Tamandua tetradactyla: one gene and its partners. The protein of the gene in region 2 interacts with the protein of the main gene of each other region in a biochemical or structural test. Links are inferred from orthologs where the notes say so. Each region holds a gene or a part of one and is shown on either strand. Other genes may lie near its edges.

Region 1 (7,331 bases), on a different chromosome or scaffold from region 2:
AAACCAGGGGAAACTATTGCAGCCCGAGGGCCTGGCCACTTCTCCATGGTTTCTGGGTCTCTGTCGCATCCAGGGGCCTTGCAGCCTCTTCCCGCCACTTGACAGAAGGTGGTCGCGGGAAGAGCGGTGGGGAACCAGCAACCCCCCCGCCCCCAGCTCAAAGGACTACAGGACTAGCGGGGGAAAGGAGGGAGGGGGTCCCTGGTGTGGAGCAGAAGCCTGGAAGGAGAGGGAAAGCAAACTGCAAAGGGCGTTTCGCTAATAGTCATGCTGTTTCCATTCTCCGCCATGTGTTTTTCATTCTGGTTTGGGTTACTTTTGACTCAAATTATGGAACTTTGTCTTTTGATGAAGGTAACTTAGATGGAATTAATTTTATACAGCCAAAATGAACATTGATTTTTCTCTGGTGGAGCCCAGGATAGTGACGGGACAAAGGCCATGGATTCTTTTGTCCGATGAGCTCAATAACCACTTCCTGAGACCCCAGGGTTTCAAAGAGAGAAAGAGTTTATTACGAGGCACGTAGTAGGTGAGCAGATGGCTTAGAGGCCCCAAATCTGTCTCCCCAAAATGCAGTAATTTTGATCGTTTTGCTAGAGAAAAGATGAACCGAGTTTAGGGTGATGAGCTCAGAGACCCCTGATGATGTAATTAGAGGGGATCTGATATCTGAGCGTGCGCGGTTTGACTACATGCTTAGTTACTGAACATGTGTCAGTAAATGGTAAAATGAAGTCTAGGTGAGTTGTAGGTTAAAGTCTAAGCTACTGCGCATGTCAGATGGGCCCACTTTGATTAGATCCAGTCTCCGTTATCAAGATAACTTTGGACTTGGGGTGGGTTAGTTCCGGGCTGACCCAAGACCCTTTATTAATAAATATTAGGAGCTGTCTTTAGCAGTTACAAGACTCTAAAGTTGAAAAACTGGATAACTGGGTACAAATGAAGGCTAGTCACAAGGTTTTTACAATCACAGGGGCAGAAGATAAGGGCTATGCAGTCATTATCAGAGATCAAGGCAGCTGGATTACAATTTAGAGATTTCAAGGATTTCCCACTATCTACTCCTATATACCAAAAAGTAAAAAGGAATATCTATAGAATGATTCAGTAATCAAAACCATCCCTTAAACCCCGATTTCTCGGTTACAGAATGATGATAGGAAGTGACTAGAAAAGAAAGCACGTTTCTTTTCAGAAAGCTTCCCTCTTCCTTACACGAGAAGAGAACCTATTTTTCCGAGACCCCAGAGCGCTTTGATAAATTCAAATGGTCAAACAAGGCATCCTCTACTGAAAGACAGCCTGTGATGATAAAATGGTGTGGCCTTTAGAATGCAGAAGAGAAAGCAAATACCTCATAATCAAAAAGGTAAGACATAAAGATAAACACTCTCCTACCACGGAAATGGGGGGGCCCTTGTCTGACAATGTCGTGTGAAAACAGCCAGCACTGTCTCTCTAACGGCTAAACATGCTGTTAGGAGTAAAACTCTGTCCACTGAGGTCCCGAGCAAGTCATTTCTTTGCACTTCTGTCTCTTCTCTAAAATGCAGACAATTATACTTGGAAAGGGCATGTTCAGGTTTATGAAACACGCTTTTGAAATCAAATTTCTCCCAAGCAACCATGAAAGTTGAGCCACAGCTTCCAGCCTTTTCCAAAGCTGCACTTTGCCTGCGTCGGAGACATTTTTGCTCCGTGGAATTTCATGCTGTCCAGGTATCGCCGACTGCCTCTCTTCTGTGGCAAAATGCGGAAGATTCTTCATTCCTCTGCGGCAAAGCGCAGAGAGGGGAAGGGAGGAGCTGAGCCGGGATGTGCGGCTTGATGCCCCGTGTAAGTCAGACCCCGTAAAACACCCTCAACCGGTTCTGAGCCTTAATCATCCTACAAATGGACCTTGTGGTTTCCCCTCGGCATCTGGGCGGCACTGAAAGGCAAGAAGCAGGAGAGAAAACTGGTGTTGACACGGACCGTTGAGCTATACTCTGGCTTCATCTTTATCCGAGGGACACAGTGTCTGTTGGATAAAAAAAGTTAGAATGAAAAAGAGTCATTCTGTGATCATTTAGGTATCTTTACCAAAGCAGCCCTCAGCATAACCCAGATCAAGCCTTTCTCAGTCAATGAGTAAAAATAATAATAATAATAATAAAGAAGATCCAAAAATCAACCTAAAGTTGTAATTTGGTGGCAGTTAGGATTTAATTCCATAGAGATTTCTTTCATCTATGGCATTTTGCTTTCAAAGAGAAGTCATATGTGTCAGGCCAAAAAATGAGCAGGAAAATTTATTTTCGTATTTGTTTTAGATTGAATCATGTTCCCCGCAAAGACATGAGTCCTAACCCCTGGTCCTGTGTATGTGAAACCTTTTGTGAACGGAATCTCCAAAGTTCCTATTAAGACGAGGCTGAAGTGAAAGGGGATGGACCTTATTCCTCCATGACTCGAGTCCCTATAAGCAAAGGAAATTCGGGCACAGAAGTAAAGCCACATAAGGAGCCCGAAGGAGACGATGGCCGTGTGATGGTGGCCCCTGCAGGACACCATAGGCTTCAGAAAAAGCATGGTCTGCTGGCACCCAGCCTTTGAAAAGCGAGAGACCATCAGCTCCCATTGTGGAAGCCAGCCAGCCCGCGGGACCCGTGACAGCAGGCCTGACACACGAAAGCGGTGGTCCTGCTATTTCTAAGCTGCTAGTGTTTTGCTTTGCAGATGACTCTCATCGAGCCCTATAATGCCGTAATGAAAAAGTAAATTAAACCATAGGGAAAATGTAGATCAAAAAGGAACATGTACCCGTCTGGCCACCACAATTTTGGTTCCAAAGTAGCTTCCCATCTGCCTGAGCCGGGACGTGCCCGTTGCCGGGGTGGTCTGGGCCGCCCTCACCTGGGGCCCCGGTGGGCAGGTGCCTGCACCTGGGGACGCTGTGTTGGTCCCAGCTCGCGGGGTTCGGGCTGCTAGTCGTCCTCACTCGTGGAACCAACCTCTTAAAAACCTAAAGTCACGACTATGCACAAATCAGCAAGGCTTTAAGCCCTCAAACAGCTGTTTCTTACTATTGCTTTTCCCTTCGGATCAGCATCCCGACCCAGAGCTCTGCTGGGCAAGGCATTGGGTGGGGGGGCTGGCAGGTGTGGGGTGGGGTGCGGGGGGTGCGGCTCCCCTGATGCATCCCCAAGGCTGTCCCCCTGACTTGCTGCTACTCACAACTACAGAAAGCCGCAGGAGGCAAAGTGCTGATGGGACAAAAAAACAACGGAACAAGAAGGCACGATTGAATGCTCGTATAAATATAGAACTAGCATGGTGAGAAGACAGAAACAGCTTTCCTAGTAAATGGAAGAAACTATTTTCTTCTTTTTCTCCGGCGGGGATAGGCTTTGTGATCTCTGCCCCATGCTCTGCCTCGAGCTGGGGAGATTCCACGACACAAGACGGGGTTGCTGCAGAACTGAGAATGGGGCAATTAGGAGGGGAGGGAGATGTCCCACTACCCCCAAGAATAGAGTTTACTTTCTTCACCTCGGGCTCTCTGTACGGTGGTTGGAACGTCACCCAACAGCCAACAGCAGGAGACCCAGCATTCCGACCTCTGGCCTCCTCGAGCCCTCTTGGCCCAGGGCCCCAAATGAGCAAAGCCCTGAGTCACTAGACAAATCACATTTGCAAGGACCCTGTCCCAGGTGCCCCTCGGGGAGCTGGCCATGCTTTGAGGCCACTGGCAAGTTGTGGACATGGGGTAAGGAATTTTTCATCTTATTCCCTCTTGAGATTTTGTTTCTCAAGAGAGGCCCAGATGGGATGGAGTCTAAGCGTGACTCTCCTTCCCCCTGGGAGCTGACCCATGTAGACCATGGGGATGTGGGCCACCATGAGTGCTTGGAGCCCTGGGAGCTGGGCTGCGCCCCCTTTTCTCCTCACCCTCACCCTTCAACTTCCTCCTCAGCCACCCCCCTCACCTGCTCATGTGTCAGATTCTTCCTCTTGTTGCTATTTAGACCATTGTGAATAATTTCCACCTCATTAGTCTTACTAGGGGTGTCCAGTGCCTCATGTCTCAGGAACAGGCAACTGAGTTCTCCAGTCACCTCTCCTCTTGGGGCCTCTAACTCACCCCAATGGACACTCACCTCTCACCCACCTTCTGTTGCTGGGTGAGGCCAAGCTGTGTGGTCTTCTACGGATCTGTGTGTCTGCCTTTCTGAACACAGGAAAGCATACTTTATAGACTGGTGTATATTAAACAAAAGAAATGAAATACCCATATTCATCTATACCAAATTACTATACAAAAAGATACTTTCTAGACATAAGGCCTTAAAGGAGGAACAGAGCACAATCTGTCTGTACCAACCTCATCTGTAATTATTTCCATACAAATGTCAAGTGCAGAACTGAAGTTGTTCGCTTTATTTGACTAGAGTGTTTAGATAGTGGTACCTGGTTTTATAGACTTATTCTCTTGACAGCTGAAGCTGCGACCTACTCATGGGATTAAATTGCTCTTTTGGTTTGTTGGGGTGGTTGTCATTTAACCCCATTGGTCTCTGTGGCTCATTTGCAACAAGAAGGAGGTAAGCGGTGTCTCTTGGGAGGAGGTCTCCCTGCAGTCCTGGACTTTGGTCTGGTGGCCACTGCCATGTCAACCACATCTGTCAGCCCTGGAGGCCAAGGATTCTGCTCACTCATCCAGGAACATCTCCTGCTGAGCCTCCAGCAGGCTTCCACAGCCACTTAAGAGACCCTGAGTCATCAATGAGAGTAGGCTTGGGGCACTAGCTACACAAACCATGAGTATCGCTCTTTCCCACTTACCCTCAGAATTAAATATCCCACCCGCACTGCTTGCTGGGCTGCTATGACAAATAGCACACAATGGGATGGCTTAACAACAGGAATTTATTGACTCACAGTTTTGAGGCTGGAAGTCCCAAATCAAGGCATAGGCAGGGCAATGCTCTCTCACCAAAACCTGTCGTGGCCTAGAGTCAGCTTGCTGTAATATTTGGGGCTCCTCGGCTTGCTTCTCTGCCTCCCACAGTGGGCTGAGCTCCCTTGGGTGGGCTCCTCTGGTTTCCACTGACTTCTGGCTTCCTGCTCCTCAGATTTTCTTCCAGTAGCTTTCGCCAACTCTCAACTTCTAGTGCTTCTCTTTCTAAAGCCAGATCTAAGAAAGAAGACCCCACCTCATTCAGTCGGGCCAGACCCTTAACTGAAAAGAGCACCTTCAAGAGTTCCTATCTACAATGGGCTCACACCCATGGAAATATGGATGAGGATTAAGAACATGTCTACGTTGGGGTTCGTAATTCAATCCACCATACTTCTATTACAACAAAATATAACCTCCTCCAGCGTACATGTGGTTTAATCCAGTGGTTCTCCAATTGTGGTCCTTGGGTCCCTAGGAATCCCTGAATCTCATTCTAGGGTTGTGTGAGGTCAGATCTATTTTATTAAGGATAGTAAGCTCTTACTGGACTATTTCACTGTATTCACATTTATTATAGACATAAAAGCAGTGGTGGGAAAAACTGCTTGTGCCTTAGCTAGAATGAAAGCAGTGGCAGCAAACTCGATTAGAAGCCATAACATTCCCCACCCCAAGCACTAGCAAGAAAAACAAAAATCCAGTTTCATTTAAGAAACTGACCTTAATGAAGTGGTAAAACTTACTAATTTTATTAAATCTGGACCCTTGAACATGCATCTTTTAAATATTTTGAGTGACCAAAGAGAAGATGCATGAAGCACTTCTGCGCATATCAAAGCACCAAGGTCATCTTGAGTACAAGTCCATGTGTGAGCATGAATTGAACTAGATGCTTTTTCTGTTTTTACCGGAAAGAACAATTGACAAGCTATGATTATTCAGATTTTGGTTGCAGATATTTTCTCAAAAATGAACAGAGTCAGCCTGTCAATTTAAGGAAAACAACTGAAAGTATATGTTGCCAAAGATAAAATTTGAGCTTTGAGATGAAAATTAGCATTTTGGAAAACTTAGATCAGTCACAGTGATCTTCCCAATACTTCTAGGTTTTTCTGAGAAGATGGGTGGAGATAGTAAAGATTGTGATTTTTTTTTAATAAGAGAAGTTGCAGGTTTACAGAAAAATCATGCAGAAAACACAGAGTTCCCATATACCCTATAACCCCTTGCATTACTGTGGCACCTTTTTCACAATTGATGAAAGGATATTATTATAAATGTTCTAGTAAAAATAGTCCATAATTTACATTAGGGTTCACTGTGTACAGTTCTATGTTTTTTTTTAAAGCGTTGTTCTGGTAACTTATTTGCACATTTAAATATATAATTCTGTGGTGCTAATACATTCACAATGCTGCACAGCTGCCACCGTTATCCATTGCCAAAACTTTTCCATCACCTCAAACAGAAATTCTGTACCAGTTAAGCAGGAATTCCCCTTTATCTACCCCCACCACAGTCCCTGCAAACTGTATTCTACTTTCTAACTCTATGAATTTGTTTATTCTGATTAATTCATATCAGTGAGATCAAATAATATGTGTCTTTTTGTGGCTGGCTTATTTGACCCAACATGGTGACTTCAAGGTCCATCTGTGTTGTCACATGTATCAGACCTTTGTTCCTTTTCATGGCCAAATAATATTCCATTATATGTATAGACCACATTTTGTTCATCCATTCATCTGTTGATGGATACTAAGGTTGCTTCCATCTTTTGGTAATTGTGAATAGTGCCACTGTGAACTTTGGTGTGCAAATGCCTGTTCAAGTCCCTACTTTAATTATTTGGGGTATATATGTAGGAACGGGATTGCTAGGACATATGGTAATTCTACACCTAACTTTCTGAGGAACCAGCAGACTGTTTTCCATAGTGACTGCACCACTTTATAGTCCCACAAACAATGAGCAAGTCTTCCTGTTTCTCCACATCCTCTCCGATACTTGTTCTTTTTTTCTTTTTTTAATAGCAGCCATTCTAGTGGGTGACAAACGGCGTCTCATAGTGGTTTTGATTTGCATTTATCTAATAACTAATGATGTGGAGCCTCTTTTCCTGTGTTTTTGGGCCATTTGTTTATCTACTTTGGAGAAATGTCTATTCAGTCTTTTACTCATTTTTTAATTGGGTTGTTTGTCTTTTTCGTTGTTGAGTTGTGATTTTTTGACGTTGTGTAATTAAATGTGTTCACATTTCATAAATCTACACAATGAGTAGTTTCTAAATATTACAAAATAATGCACAATTTAAATAATGCACAATTTAAAGTTCAAGGTAGACCAAATGTGTTTTAATGTAACTGGACATAAAAATGTACTG
Region 2 (7,342 bases):
AAAAGGGGAGATAAAGTTTGCTTACTTATTTTTGAAAGTGAATATGCAGATAATCGCGGTAAATCCAAATGGTGTATAACTTGTTCGTCTTATACTGTTAATGCTGGTTAGTTGAGATTGTACCCTACAGAATCACAGGAGAACTGATAAAGTACAAATTTAGGGATCCCAAAAACAATTGAAGAGGAGTCAGCATTCCATATGCCAGAATCAAAGTTAAGTAGCATATCTGGGCAGAATACTAACTCCATATTCAAACTTCTGCACATCCCTACTAAGAATCCAAAGATGAATCAGGCAGTTTCCTGCCCCCAAGAAGCTTTCAGACATTGTTGAGGAAGATAAATAATAGCAGAGCAACCAGAGTGGTCAGTTCTAGGAAAGAGAAACAGTTTTGGAAAAGAAAAAGCAGAGGTATAGATAGCAATGATTGAGTTGAGTTTTTAAAGTTTTGTATGACAATTTACCAAAATATTGGGGTTAGCAAGTCAGAGATGAATGAAACACTCCTTTTGAGTGATTGTCATGTGACTGAAGAATGTGAATGGGGGTGTGGCAAATGAAGATGAAGAGATGAGTAGGGAACTTCCTTTAAAAGTAATTAGTCTTTGACCTGTACGCGTTTTAAGCAGGACATAATATGAGATACATATTTTGGAAAGACCATTGTGGTGATAATTTGAAGACTCATTTCAGTCAGTGGTTCTCAACCTTGTCTATGTATCATACACCTCTCAGAAAGTTTTTAAAACCCAGATTTCTGGGCCTTGCCTCAGCTTTACAGAATCAGAATTTAGATAGGTAGGCCCCAAGATTTTGATGTGTTGACAATTATGGTGCAGCTAAACCAGCATTTAGAAATATAGCATTAGTGACTATTTCAGTAGTTTGTTTTGTTTATGATTATATTACTAGTCCTTAGCACAGAGCACCCAATAAATGTTAGAGGGACAATAGTCTATTTTCTCTCATGATGTTTTATGAGGTGAGGAATCTTGGCAATTGGCTTATGACTAGGCAGATCTCCTGAGTAGGTATGCAGATTGATTTTACTTTTGGGATCCTCACCATACAAAGAATATCCAGTAAAAGAAGAGTGGCAATTAACAGTTGGCCTACTGGTATTTTAAATATTATCTTATCTGTGGAACATATGTAAAAAAATAATAATTCATAAAATAATTGAACAAAGCTGTTTAGAAATATCCAAAATGGTGAAGATTTACTATGCTAAAATAAGAAATTAAAAAGCAGTGGAAAAAAAGGATTATATTTTTAAAGCTTTTAGGTAACTGTTGAGGGAAAAAAAAATTTAGATTCCAACCTTACATTTCACCAAAATAAACTCCAGGTGGTTTAATGAACTAGACAGAAGTAGAATAAGATATTTTTCAGATCTTTGGAAGAATATTAGAAGACATATCAATGGAAAAGATTAATTTGACTATCAATATTTTTAACTTGTGCAAGATAAAAGAGAAAACAGATTCCAGAAAAAATTAACATCTAATATGACAAATGGCTTATAATATGTGAAGAAATTATTTAGGTTTTTAGATCTTGAGGGATTACCTTTCAGTGTTATGCCACTATCACCAAATTCTGTAGGATAGGACCAGGCCTGCCCTTCCTGCTTATAAAACAATCTCAAAAATCACCTCGCCCAAGGATAATGTGCTGTCATATTATGTACATTAGTTCTAGGAATAGCTCTAGAACATTTTTAATATAAAATAAAATGCTTCAGCTTTTATTCACTAATTTTCTAATACAAGTTAGAAAAACTTTATAAAAGTGAGTATAATCAAAACCAGGATGTTGCTGTGATTACCATACAGCTGTTGAGCAAATGAAACAAACAAGACTGAATTAAAATGTTCAGATGGCTGCTCTGTACAAATTTAAAATAAAGTTTAATGGGAGTATGAGAGGTAGATTGAATTGCCATCCTCTTATCCTCTCCCCACAGTGGTTGGCAATACCCATTAAACATTGCCTTTCTTTGAAGAGATGCTGGACAGCAGAACAGAGAACATGGCTATTACAGGTACCTGTCAATTAGGACTTCGGATTTACAAGGAGATTCCAGGAAAGAGCATGGCCACGAGTCCATCAAATCCTAAATTCCACAGCCAACACCTATAACTTCTTTATGTCCTTGGAAATGTGAAGTGACAAATTTTAAACTTCATAATAAAGAGCAAGACTTATGAATACTTATCTTGGGAATTAGAATGGGTTTCTGGGAGACAGCATAGTGTAGTGTTAATAGCATGAGGTCTTTGGTGCCAAACTGCTTAAATTAGAATAAAGGTTCTGAACACCATTTATTAACTCTAACCTTGAATAACATATATAACATAATGATAACAGTATTTACATCACAGGGCTATTTTAAGGATTAAGTTAACATGAAAATGTTTAGAATACTACCTTGTACATAGCAAGCAACAAGTAGAAGTCTTTGCATTTAAAGCTTTAAGCAAAATGCCTATTAAAGAGTGAACTTGAAAATTTCCTTGGATTTTCTTCAGGCCTGAGGCTAACCAGTACTGTTTAACAACAAGATATAATTTTCACCTATCAGCTTGGTAAAAAATTTTAAAAGAAAAAAAGGTCCATGATCTATAATCTGCTGAGTGCATAGGAAAATGGATGTACATGTTCATGGATTTGCAGAGACACAAGTAGGTACAAACCTTTTTGGAGAGCTAAATGGCATAATTTTTGAATCAAGCATTTCACTTCACAGCATTTATCCTGTAGAAATACTGACACAGTGAAAAAAAAAATTGTACCTTCAAAGCCAGAAAGTTTTTTTCCTCTAAATAAAGAGAATTGAGGGATTTAAAAAAAAAATTATGCCTTAATTGATCAGAAATACATCCAGTCATCTGCTAGCATTTTTTTCCTGCTAACATTTTGAATAAAGTCAGAGATTTACAATCAGGATGAATAAAGTCAGAGATTTACAATCAGGAATGCTGTCAAGCTTTCTGTATATCATAAGTAGACCACAATGACTTGAAATGTCTGCAATTATTTTGTGTTCTTGTTTAGCTATAAAAGAATAGTATACATTCTCTGTAAAATGACTACTGCTTATGAACTTTGCATACAAGATGCTTAATAAGACAGTGGCTCAAAATAGTTTTTCCTATACAAAGTAATTTCAAGATGTAATTGTTACTTTCTTGCTATAGTGCTGTTTTAGTTTCCTTGTTGCTAAAGCAAATAGTGGGATTTATTGACTCCTGGTTTTGAGGCTAAATAAGAGAAGGCTAAATAAAGGCATGTATCATCAAGGTGATGCTTTCTTTCCAAAGACTACATTCTGGGGCTGGCTGCTGGTGATCCTTTGTCACATTAGCAGTGCACGTGGTGGCCTCTCCTGGCCTCTTCCTTCTCTTCTGGGTTCCACTGACTTTCAGTTTCTTGCTTCCCATGATAACCTCATCAAAAGGTCCTACTTAGAATGGGTTCACACTCACTGGAATGGATTAAGTTTACGAACATGTTTTTCTGGTGTGCATACCTCCAAACCCCACCACAAGTACTATATGTTAAATAATAAAAAAAAAATAAATATGTGAAAACTGCAGCACCACAAAGATTCAGTTCTGAAACAGTCATAGAAATGGTTAAGCAAACTATTCAAAAGAGAATTTGGGGTGCATGGGTGGTTCAGTGGTAGAATGCTTGCCTTGCATGTGGGAGACCCAGGTTCAATTCCTGGACAATGAAATAAAAAAGAAAGATTTTGTGTATATTCTTAGCTGATTTGCCCTCTAGTACACTGTGAAATAGCACCTATGCAGACAATTTCGGTAGATTTGTACTTAAAAACAACATAGATGCAATTGATAATTTAGAGTAATACAGTGGCCTTATTTGCATGCTGAAAATCTGCTTGTTTCCTTCTGGTCCACACAACGTTTGTTCCATCTAAGTAGTAGTAAGTAAGCAAATAGCACAGAATTCTTCTCTATGGGTGCTGTAACCCATGGTCTAATAGAAGTAACTTATGTACTTCTGTGGGAGCAAGAGTGATAAACTGGACTGTTCAGATGTAAAAACTCCTAAGAACTTTGGATGCTAAGTTTTAAGCTTAGAAATGTTTAGAATACCACCTTGTACATAGTACACATGTGGAGATTATTAGATAAAAGTTCTTTATTAAACCTTTATTACATGTTCTTTGAATGCTGTAATCTAAAGATTGTTTATGTAATAATGAACATAATGATTTTCATCACCTTCTACGTCTAATTTAGGTTTATCGACTCTTGAAATATCAGATTACTTGTTTCTTGAGGTTTATTTTACTTCCAGAATTCATGTTTACACTCAGATGCTTGTTCTCATAGTCTGCCCTGACTTATATATTGTCCTTTGATGTTTTATGCAACATCATTTCTCTAATAGGGCAATCATTGCTATCTTTAAGGTTCTGGAGAAGGCAAGTATTTCAGAAGGTATGGAGATTTTCTACCACCATGGTTAGCTTAATCAGATATCCTTTAAAAACATGGCAAGTAATATAAAGATACAATTTTTTCTCCAAGTATTTCATTTGGGTAATCATTTGTGGAAGATTGGTTGTGTTGTTCAGAAAAAGAGGGGGTAATAAATGTGATTAAAGTGGCTGATAACATTCTTTTTTATTTTTATTTTTTTGCTGATAATATTCTTAACACCTGAATTAATTGTGGCATTTGAACCTAATATTCAGGTTTATCATCAGTCATTGATCACCATTCTTTTTTGGTGGTTTTGCTTGAACTACATAGGAATCTGTTTGCCACAGCCACTATTGCTTATCACCCATGACTGGGAGGAGGTGGGGATAAAATAGCAACAGCATCCACTAGGGCCAAAAATAGACTGCTGGCTCAAAACCCAGGGTGAATGCCCCAAAGTGAAGAGATTGTCCATTTTAGATCGCATGGTCTGGGGACTTTTCAAACTCTTTCTAGCAACAGAAACCACTCTTCTCTTCCCCCATTGAATATTGTGCAGAATCCTTATTTATGCCTAAGATAGATAAAAGCTCTATTTTATTATTATACACTTTAAAGTTCAAATTTAAAATATTTACTTAAAGTCAATCGATGGGGCAATTCTAATGCACATTAAAATATTATTACAGATTGTTGACATTCTTGTGCTTTCATAGTAGCATAGGCATCTAATTTATCTGTAGTTTTTTAAATTGTACATCATTGAGAAAATCATGATTCACATATATAAGTAGTTACAAATGGTAATGGTTTTATAGCACACCTTAAATCGCAAGATACTCAAGTTAAACTGATCTAGATACTTAAACTGAAATTTTTACATCAGTGTTATTAACAATATGTAACAAGTGTTCACATTCCTTATAAAAGTATAAAAATATAAGCACACAAAGAATAAATGCTAAGATTATATTGTGATTAGTGTCACAATACAACCATTAGGTATTTACTTGTTGTAATATAAGATAACATGAGCATACACTGAAAGCCTGCCTGTTTATTCGAGTGTGTCGTTCCTACGATTGAACCTTGGTAGCTTTGCAAAAGATCATCTGGAGGGAGGAGAGACTTGAGGTGGAGACCAATTATGTACTTCATTCATAGGATGGGAGGAGAATTAAGTGAAATTATGCAGGCAGAGTCCTTAACATACTGTTACGTGCTTAGTAAATGGTACCGGCTGCTTTCAATTTAATAAATTGGCTTAAATAATGGGATTGAGTTGAGGGGTCACAGGAGAGCAGCTGAGTATTTGAGATTGAAGAAATGTTTTCCATTAAGATAAGCATAGTGGAGGAAGAGGAAAGACTTTGGAGTTAAAAAGGCCTGGGTTCAAATCCCTTCTGGTATGTGACTGTGCGAATGCCAAATAAATTCCAGATGAGCCCCAATTTGCTCATATGTAAAAGAGGGATAATATTTAACCTATAGAGCTAGGCACGTAGTAGGTTCTAATCAACAGTTCCTGTTAAGGAAGAATCTAAGTATCATGCCACAACCTTTTCCCCTTCCTTTCGTATACCTGTATTTACTTGGTAGACTGTTGTGCCAGTAATAGATAAGGTGCTGCTGCTTAGTAGACAACCTGAAAACAGTAGTTTATTATAACTGTTAATAAAAATTCCTGTAGCTTATAGTGAGTATTGTTCTTGTGGTAGTGTAGAGGGTGTGTGGGAGTCAAGAAACTGAGCAGATCAGTTTGTTGCTGTAACTGATATGCTTAGCAACTCTTGTGTTCAAGTCATTATGTACAACTGTAGATTGTTCCTCTAGACTTACTCGGGGTTCTGTATTTTGAAACTGCTTATCAGTGGCTATGAAGGTACAGTTTTTGACTAAAATAAAAACTTCCTCTACAATTTGACATGTCAGGGAGGTAACATCTGCTTGAAAAGATTTAAAGCTTGATCATGAACTTCTTGTGTGAGTTCCTTATGTCTGCAGTACTTCAAACATTTGTATAGCTGTGTAAAAGAACATTCATCTGGTAGACAAGTCTCTAGTTACATGGCATCTTCTAATCCAGCTATGGTAACAGAAGAATATAAAAAGTTTTATTCAAACTAAGCCAAACTAACTTACATAAACTTTCCCTTTCAACTTTTCTCTTCTTTTTTGGTTAAGTAGGATTAGTTCTGAACGCAGAAAAGAAAAATCTAGAGATGCAGCCAGATCTCGGCGAAGTAAAGAGTCGGAAGTTTTTTATGAGCTTGCTCATCAGTTGCCTCTTCCCCATAATGTGAGCTCGCATCTTGATAAGGCTTCTGTGATGAGGCTCACCATCAGTTATTTGCGTGTGAGGAAACTTCTGGATGCTGGTGAGTTTTTTAAGAATTTAATAGGCTGAAAATTAGAACTAGAAATTGTTTAGAAGTTGTCAAAATATTTTGTTTTTTGTATACCCCATTATGTTATAACATACTTGAAAAATTTTTCAATAATCGTATTTTATGAAGTTTGCTTTTCTAATCAGTATAGTTAGAAATAATCTCTTTATATTGTAAGTTTTGCTCTATTCCCTTAAAAACACTCTTAGTTCTTCTTTAATATGATATATTTTTTATTACCTGTCTTTAAAGCTTCATTCAGGAATTTTTAAACTACTAGCTTTTTTCTTTTTCATTTTCTTCAGTCTCAGTTACCTACCTGTTTTCTTTTTAATAACGTGACCCTTTCTCTTTTCAGTGGTTTGCCTTGTTGCATTACTTTAAATAATCCTGAAAAGCAGTTGGCAGGTTTAATATTAGTTTTTCTAGCCTCTGGCCTTAACTGTTCTGTTCTAAAAGGAAAGGGCAGAAAACACACATACACAATAGATGCTA
Region 3 (7,794 bases), on a different chromosome or scaffold from region 2:
CAACAAATTCATCAAGCAAGAAAACCCTAGATAAAAGAAGTGAAAGCAATCTCCAGAATAAACTAATTAAGGTAATTAAATGCCTAGACACCAGCAAAAAATAACAAATCACACTAGGAAAATTGAAGAAAGGGCCCAGCCAAAGGAACAAACCAACAATTCAAATGACATACAGGAACTGACACAATTAATTCAGAATGTACGAACAGACATGGAAAACCTCATCAAAAACCAAATCAATGAATTGAGGGAGGATATAAAGAAGGCAAGGAAAGAACAAAAAGAAGAAACTGAAAGTCTGAAAAAACAAATCACAGAACTTATGGGAATGAAAGACACAGTAGAAGAGATGAAAAAAACAATGGAAACCTACAATGGTAGATTTCAAGAGACAGAACATAGGATTTCAAAACTGGAGGACGGAACATCTGAAATCCGACAAGAAACAGAAACTATAGGGAAAAAAAAAAGGAAAAATATGATCAGGGACTCAGGGAATTGAAAGACAATATGAAGCTCATGAATATATGTGTTGTGGGTATCCCAGAAGGAGAAGGGAAGGGAAAAGGAGGAGAAAAACTAATGGAGTAAATTATCACTGAAAATTTCCCAACTCTTATGAAAGACTTAAAATTACAGATCCAAGAAGGGCAGCGTACCCCAAAGAGAATAGATCCAAATAGACATATTCCAAGACATTTACTAATCAGAATGTCAGAGGTCAAAGAGAAAGAGAGGATCTTGAAAGCAGCAAGAGAAAAGCAATCCATCACATTCAAGGGAAGCCCAATAAGACTATGCACAGATTTCTCAACAGAAACCATGGAGGTGAGAAGACAGTGGGATAATATATTTAAATTATTAAAAGATAAAAACTGCCAACCAAGAATTCTATATCCAGCAAAACTGTTCTTCAAAAATGAGGGAGAAATTAAAACATTTTCAGACAAAAAACCACTGAGAGAATTTGTGACCAAGAGACCAGCTCTGCAAGAAATACTAAAGGGAACACTAGAGACAGATATGAAGACAGAAGAGAGAGGCATGGAGAAGAGTGTAGAAATGAAGACTATGAGTAAAAGTAAAAAGAAGGAAAATTAGATATGACATATAAAATCCAGAAGGCAAAATAGTAGAAGAAAGTACTACCCATGCAGTAATAACACTGAATATTAATGGTTAAACTCTCCAATCAAAAGACACACTCTGGCAGAATGGATTAAAAAACAGGACCCATCTATATGCTGTCTCTACTCAAAGGACACAAGGCCAAGGACACAAATGGACATTTACACACCAATATTTATAGCAAAATTATTAACAATTACCAAGAGATGGAAACAGCCAAAATGTCCATCAACAGACAGTTGACTAAACAAACTGTGACATTTACATAAGATGGAATATTATGCAGCTGTACGACAAAATAAAGTTATGAAGTATGTAACAACATGAATGGACCTTAAGGACATTATGCTGAGTGTGATTAGCCAGAAACGAAAGGACAAATACTGTATGGTCTCACTGATATGAACTGACATTAGTGAATAAACTTGGAATATTTCCTTGGTAACAGAGACCATCAGGAGATAGAAATAGGGTGAGATATTGGGTAATTGGAGCTGAAGGAATACAGATTGTGCAACAGGACTGAATATAAAAACTCAGAAATGGACAGCACAATACTACCTAACTGTAATGTAATTATGTTAAAACACTGAATGAAGCTGCATGTGAGAATGACAGAGGGAGGAGGGCTGGGGACATAAATAAAATCAGAAAGAAAGATAGATGTTAAAGATCGAGATGATATAATCTTAGGAATGCCTAGAGTGTATAATAATAGTGAAATGTACAATGTACAAATTTTAAAAATGTTTTTGCATGAGGAAGAACAAAGGAACGTCACTATTGCAGGGTGCTGAAAACAGATGATAATACTTAAAAATATCACCTTATGTGTGAGACTAAAGCAAAAAATGTTTGTTACAAAATTTATATTTCGACTAGAGCATTTCCTAATATAACTCGTGTAGATAGTTTGATTGAATGTCATAAGTACTTGGAATCTCAGGTAGGACATGAGATTTCGTTGGTTTGTCCAGAGTGATGCCCCGATGAATCCCAGAGTGATTTGATCAGTGACTGGAAATGTATTTGCAAGCCCCCTTCGGGGAATGGTGAGAGTGGGGAGAAATTCAACTTCCCCAAGTTGAATTCTTGATATTCTCACAAGCAGTGTGGACAACCAAAGCCATAGGCTGAGCCCCCAGTCTTGGGGTGTGTTCATATGAAACTTAACCCCACAAAGGATAGGTCAAGTCTGCTTAAAATTTAGGCCTAAGAGTCACCCCCAAGAGAGCCTCTTTTGTTGCTCAGATGTGGTCTCTCTCTCCAGCCAACATGACGAGCAGTCTCACCACCCTCCCCCTCTCTGCATGGGACATGACTCCCAGAGGTGTGGACCTTCCTGGCAACGTGGGACAGAGATCCTGGAATGACCTGAGACTCAGCATCAAGGGACTGGGAAAACCCTAGAATAAGCTGAGAATTAACATCAAGGGATTGAGAGAACCTTCTCGACCAAAGGGGGAAGAATGAAATGAGACTAAGTGTCAATGGCTGAGAGATTCCAAACAGAGTTGAGAGGTTATCCTGGAGGTTATTCTTATTCATTAAGTAGATATCACCTTGTTGTTCAAGACGTAGCGGAGAGGCAGGAGGGAACTGCCTGAAAATGTAGAGCTGTGTTCCAGTAGCCATGTTTCTTGATGATGATTGAACAATGATATAGTTTTCACAATGAGACTCTGTGAATGTGAAAACCTTGTGTCTGATGCCCCTTTTAGCTACTATAGCAACAGAAGAGTAGAACATATGGAATAAAAATAAATAATAGGGGGAACAAATGTTAAAACAAATTTAGTTTGAAATGCTAGTGGTAAATGAAAGCGAGGGGTAAGGGGTATGGTATGTATAATTTTTTTTCTCTGTTATCGTTTTATTTCTTTTTCTGTTGTCTTTTTATTTCTTTTTCCAGATCGATGCAAATGTTCTAAGAAATGATGAACATGCAACTATATGATGATATTAAGAATTACCGATTGTATATGTAGAATGGAATGATATCTTAATGTTTTGTTTAATTTTTTTAATTAATAAAAAAAGTTAAAAAATAAATAAAAATAAAAAAGGGACTCTCTCCAAAATGTTTCCTTTTTAAAGGATTCCAATGAACTAATCAAGACCCACCTGGAATAAGTACAGTCACAACTCCATGGAAGCCATCTAATCAAAAGTTACTACCCACAATTGGGAGGGTCACAGCTCCATGGAAACAATCAAAACGCTCTCACCCAGCAATACTGAATGAGAATTAAAGGACATGGCTTTTCTGGGGTCCACCACAGATTCAAACCAGCACAGGCCTCCTCCATTGTGAATCCCAAACACTGCCGCCATGAACCCCAGGGTACGATGTCCATTCCTGTACCCACACTCAGTTCCTCCAGGTATATATTGAGCAATAGCATTGAAGGATCATATGGCAACCCCACCCCTAGCCTCCTGTGGAACCACCAGTTATATTCCTTTGTTAAACCCTATCTTCTCTGTTATAATTCCTCCTTCTCCTTTGATCTTTCTTCCAGTCTTTAAGGGTATTTGGGCTAAGCCCATTCTAACTTTTTCATGTTGGAAAAGGCTGTCAATAATATGGGACATGGGGATAGAACTAGTCGATGTTCTGGAGAGGCTAGGCTCTCTGATTTCAGGACTTATCTGGCGTAGGAACCAGGAGGGTGTAGGTTTCTGGAAAGTAATCTCAGTTAGAGCCCTAGGTGTTCTTTAGGGTAAACAGGAATGGTTTTGGTTTGGGTTTGGCATACCATGGCAATTAGCTATATCTAGCAGAAATTTGCATAAGAGTAGTGTTCGGAATAGCCTCTTAACTCTATTTCAACACTCTTAGTCACTGATATTTTATTTTGTTACATTTCTTGTCCCCCTTTTGGTCAGGAAGGCATTGCTGATCCCATGTGCTAGGGCCAGGCTCATCCCTAGGAGTCATGTCCCACCTTGTCAGGGAGACTCACCCCTGGATGTCATGCCCCACATAGAGGAGAGGGTAATGAGTTTACTCACAGAGTTTAGGAGATGTATTTTTTTTTAAGTTGTTTTATTCACACACCATACAAGCTAACCAACATGGGCAATCAATGGCTCACAGTATACTTTCAGAGTTGTACGTTCGTCAACACAATTTTGGAGCATTTTCATTACTGCTAAAAAGGAAAAAAAAATCCATGCCCTTTTGAGACCCCTATGATTGACACTTAGCTTCAGTGTGGTACCTTTCTCACAACTCATGGAAGAATCGTAATTACTGCTAACTATAGCGCATAATTTGCATCGGGTGTATTTTTTCCGTTTATGCCACCCTATTCTTAACTCTTTGTAACAGTGACTTTCTTATTCATGGAAAAACATTCTTCTATTTATATCATTAATCAAGTCATCGTCCACAACTGTGTGTTTTACAATCCCATGTTTAGGGTCATGTGTGGCACTACAAGGAAACCTAGAGGATGAAACAAGAGGAGCCCTTTCAAACCCTTAGTCGCGTTAGCTTCAGAAACTACTTGTACGGCTCTGTCAAATTATGGAGGGAACCATGATGCCCTGTGCTCTAAATGGCGCCGCCATCTTTGACGGAAGTGACTCGCGGGAGCCGCCATTTTGGCCGGGCGGGAGGTTATTTCCGGTTCCGGTGGCGCGGTGCTCTTCCTTTTTCACGGCGGGGCAGTGGCTGTCTCGGTTGTGGTTCTCGGCTCTCCGGACCATCCGGTGCCATCCTCGTCGCTGCGGCGACCTCGACACCCGCCGCCGCCATGACTGAGCAGATGACTCTCCGTGGCACCCTGAAGGGCCACAACGGCTGGGTGACCCAGATCGCTACTACTCCGCAGTTCCCGGACATGATCCTGTCAGCTTCGCGAGGTACGAGCTGAGGTGCGGGGGCCGGGTGGGGACGGCGTTCGCTCGCGGCGGACCCAGGGCCCCACTCCGTCCGGTGTAACTCCGCGCGCCGCCCGCGTTTTGCAGAGGGGGACGTGACTCGGCCCTTGGCCTGCGGGAGCATTGGCGGGGGTGGGGGGTGTCCCATTTCCTGTCCCTCGGGGCCCGGGCGGAGCGGTGATGATCCCAACATGCCATCTGAGCGCCCGTGCTGAGACCCAGAGGCTGTTTCTGAGCTGCCGCCGGGCCCTGCTAGGGAGGGGTGGGCTCACAGGGGCCTCGTGCCCGTCCGCCCTGCCCTTTGCCCCCTCGGCCCTCCTTGGCTTTTGCCCTCCCTGTGGGCCCGCAGCGTCGGGGGCTTCCCGTGCCTTCTGAGAGCGCCCAGGTGGTTAGGAGGCAGCTGGGACTCGACCTGCTGCTGGTGCTTAGTGGTGAGCCTTAGTGCCGGGCACGCGCGTGCAGGAAAGCCTGCGGGCTGGCAGCGCCCGAGCAGCATTTCCAGCGGTTGCAGAAAGGTCCACAAGTCGTTAGAGCTCAGACCAGATAGGAGATAAATGTCTTAATGGGTTCGGGTCCCAGAAAAGGACATCCGTCGTCGCATTCGGAGTTCTGTACACCTGACGGAATCTCATGCACAGCTTGGCCTTACTCTGGGTTAGTGAACTTGTCTTGGCTTGCGGACTCCCTTCCCCCTCACCTGACTCTAATTTGTCATTTTGTGAGCCCTCTGTGACCTTGAGATGTCCGGGTTAGCCCGTAGGTCAGTGAGGAGGCTGGAGACCGGCAGGATGGCGAGGATTGAGGCGGCTGAGTGTCCATTTCGGTTTTCTCTCTAGACAAGACCATCATCATGTGGAAGCTGACCAGAGACGAGACCAACTATGGTATTCCCCAGCGTGCTCTGCGGGGTCACTCTCACTTTGTCAGTGATGTGGTCATCTCCTCGGATGGCCAGTTTGCCCTCTCAGGCTCCTGGGATGGAACCCTGCGCCTCTGGGATCTCACAACGCAAGTAGCTGCTCACTTAGACCTGGGGCCTTGGGGAAGAGCTGGGCAAAGTGAAGTAGAGGTGGTAGGGAGAAGTGGGTAGAGTAAAGGAGGTCATGTCGGGGTTACTCACCTGAGTCTTGCTGGGGAGCGGTCTGAGTATCTTGGCCTGGCACCTCGGTGTGGTTGGGCACGTGGCAGGGGTCATGGAGGACCCTGGTGATGACAGACGACATTGTCCACCTATCCCCATGGGGCATGAGGACATGTCCTGCAATTCTGAGGGGGTTCTCTCGCATAGACTCAGCCAGGGACTTGTGGTCGGGACTGTGTGTGGCATTGGGGGGTAATTCACCACTGAGACAGGACATGACGAAACTGTGGAGAGACCGTTTGCAGGCTCTGCTTAGAGAGTGACCATGTCCTCCCTCCCAGGGGCACCACCACACGCCGGTTTGTAGGCCACACTAAGGATGTGCTGAGTGTGGCTTTCTCCTCTGACAACCGGCAGATTGTCTCTGGCTCCCGAGACAAGACCATCAAGCTGTGGAACACTTTGGGAGTCTGCAAGTACACAGTCCAGGTAAAGCAGAGGCATTGGTCGGGAGCCTGGTGCAGGTGTTGGAGCTCCTCCTCTTCCATTTCTCCTTGTCTTATGCCAGGAGCCTAAAAGTTCTGGGGAGGAGGATATAAGGCTGCCGACACCCACCCCACACGGCTGAGGGAAGGCTGGGGCAGTTAGAATTTTATGTCATGGGATGGTTTCCCTTTGCTTCCTTTCCATCTGTAGGATGAGAGCCACTCAGAGTGGGTGTCTTGTGTCCGCTTCTCGCCCAACAGCAGCAACCCCATCATCGTTTCCTGCGGCTGGGACAAGCTGGTCAAGGTGCGCTTGGGGCCAGGGGACAGGTGGGTGTGGGCTCCAGCTCTGAATACTTTGTAGGTTCCTTTAATTGACTTTTTTTCCTTTGGCTGTTGTTTTTCCAATTCCGGCCATAAATTTCTGGTATTAATAGCAAGAGGGGAAAAGTATGGAGTAGTTTGAGCCCAGAGCCTTTGTAAGACTCCACACAGCATTTAGTAACTGTTTTAAAACCCAGTTGTCTTTAAGTGGCCAAGAGAAATTCTTCAACCTCTTTTTACTGATAAATGATGGTCATTCCTCCCAGGAATGTTTTCAAATAAGGTATCATGTTAGGCCCCAAGCCGGCTTCCTCACCTGTGGGTCCTCTGCCCCTCTTTTTAGGTATGGAACCTGGCTAACTGTAAGCTGAAGACCAACCATATTGGCCACACGGGCTACCTGAACACTGTCACTGTCTCTCCAGATGGATCCCTCTGTGCTTCTGGAGGCAAGGTATTCAGGAGCCAGGGGCCTCCTACTCTTAAAGTGGGGGGTGGGGGAGGCTGAACATGCCTTTCGCAGGGGACACTTTGAGGCGTTTGCTTACAGGAAGCTTGGGAAAGGGGGTAGGGGGGCTTAAGAGTTGATTAGGACAAAACATTGGGAAATGGAGTTGATTTCCGGGAACAGTCACAGTGACCCAGTGGTGTCTTCCAGGATGGCCAGGCCATGCTGTGGGACCTAAACGAAGGCAAGCACCTCTACACGCTGGACGGCGGGGATATCATCAATGCCCTCTGCTTCAGCCCCAACCGCTACTGGCTCTGTGCTGCCACGGGCCCCAGCATCAAGATCTGGGTGAGTGTGAATACAGTTCAGACTGAGTGCCTGGCTGTACTTTGGAAGTCCTGCCAGTGTGATGGTTACACACATGGTAATATACCATC

Evidence for each region. The genes of interacting proteins can lie anywhere in the genome.
Region 1: the proteins of HIF1A (region 2) and FHL2 form a complex in vitro, tested with the Homo sapiens proteins (2 studies listed by BioGRID). The link is inferred for Tamandua tetradactyla from reciprocal best matches to the Homo sapiens genes HIF1A and FHL2.
Region 3: the proteins of HIF1A (region 2) and RACK1 form a complex in vitro, tested with the Homo sapiens proteins (2 studies listed by BioGRID). The link is inferred for Tamandua tetradactyla from reciprocal best matches to the Homo sapiens genes HIF1A and RACK1.

Annotation. Positions count from the first base shown.
Region 1 is NC_135343.1:70,098,414-70,105,744, reverse strand, and holds the start of FHL2 (four and a half LIM domains protein 2), read left to right. Parts: upstream 1-4,310; 5' UTR 4,311-5,275; coding exon 5,276-5,316; intron 5,317-7,331. UniProt on the Homo sapiens protein: May function as a molecular transmitter linking various signaling pathways to transcriptional regulation. Negatively regulates the transcriptional repressor E4F1 and may function in cell growth.
Region 2 is NC_135338.1:3,074,047-3,081,388, reverse strand, and holds the start of HIF1A (hypoxia-inducible factor 1-alpha), read left to right. Parts: upstream 1-4,243; 5' UTR 4,244-5,607; coding exon 5,608-5,693; intron 5,694-6,644; coding exon of another isoform or gene 6,645-6,647; coding exon 6,648-6,838; intron 6,839-7,342.
Region 3 is NC_135346.1:3,339,102-3,346,895, reverse strand, and holds the start of RACK1 (small ribosomal subunit protein RACK1), read left to right. Parts: upstream 1-4,773; 5' UTR 4,774-4,889; coding exon 4,890-4,998; intron 4,999-5,187; exon of another isoform or gene 5,188-5,255; intron 5,256-5,852; coding exon 5,853-6,024; intron 6,025-6,215; exon of another isoform or gene 6,216-6,293; intron 6,294-6,438; coding exon 6,439-6,586; intron 6,587-6,793; coding exon 6,794-6,889; intron 6,890-7,249; coding exon 7,250-7,360; intron 7,361-7,564; coding exon 7,565-7,705; intron 7,706-7,794. UniProt on the Homo sapiens protein: Scaffolding protein involved in the recruitment, assembly and/or regulation of a variety of signaling molecules. Interacts with a wide variety of proteins and plays a role in many cellular processes.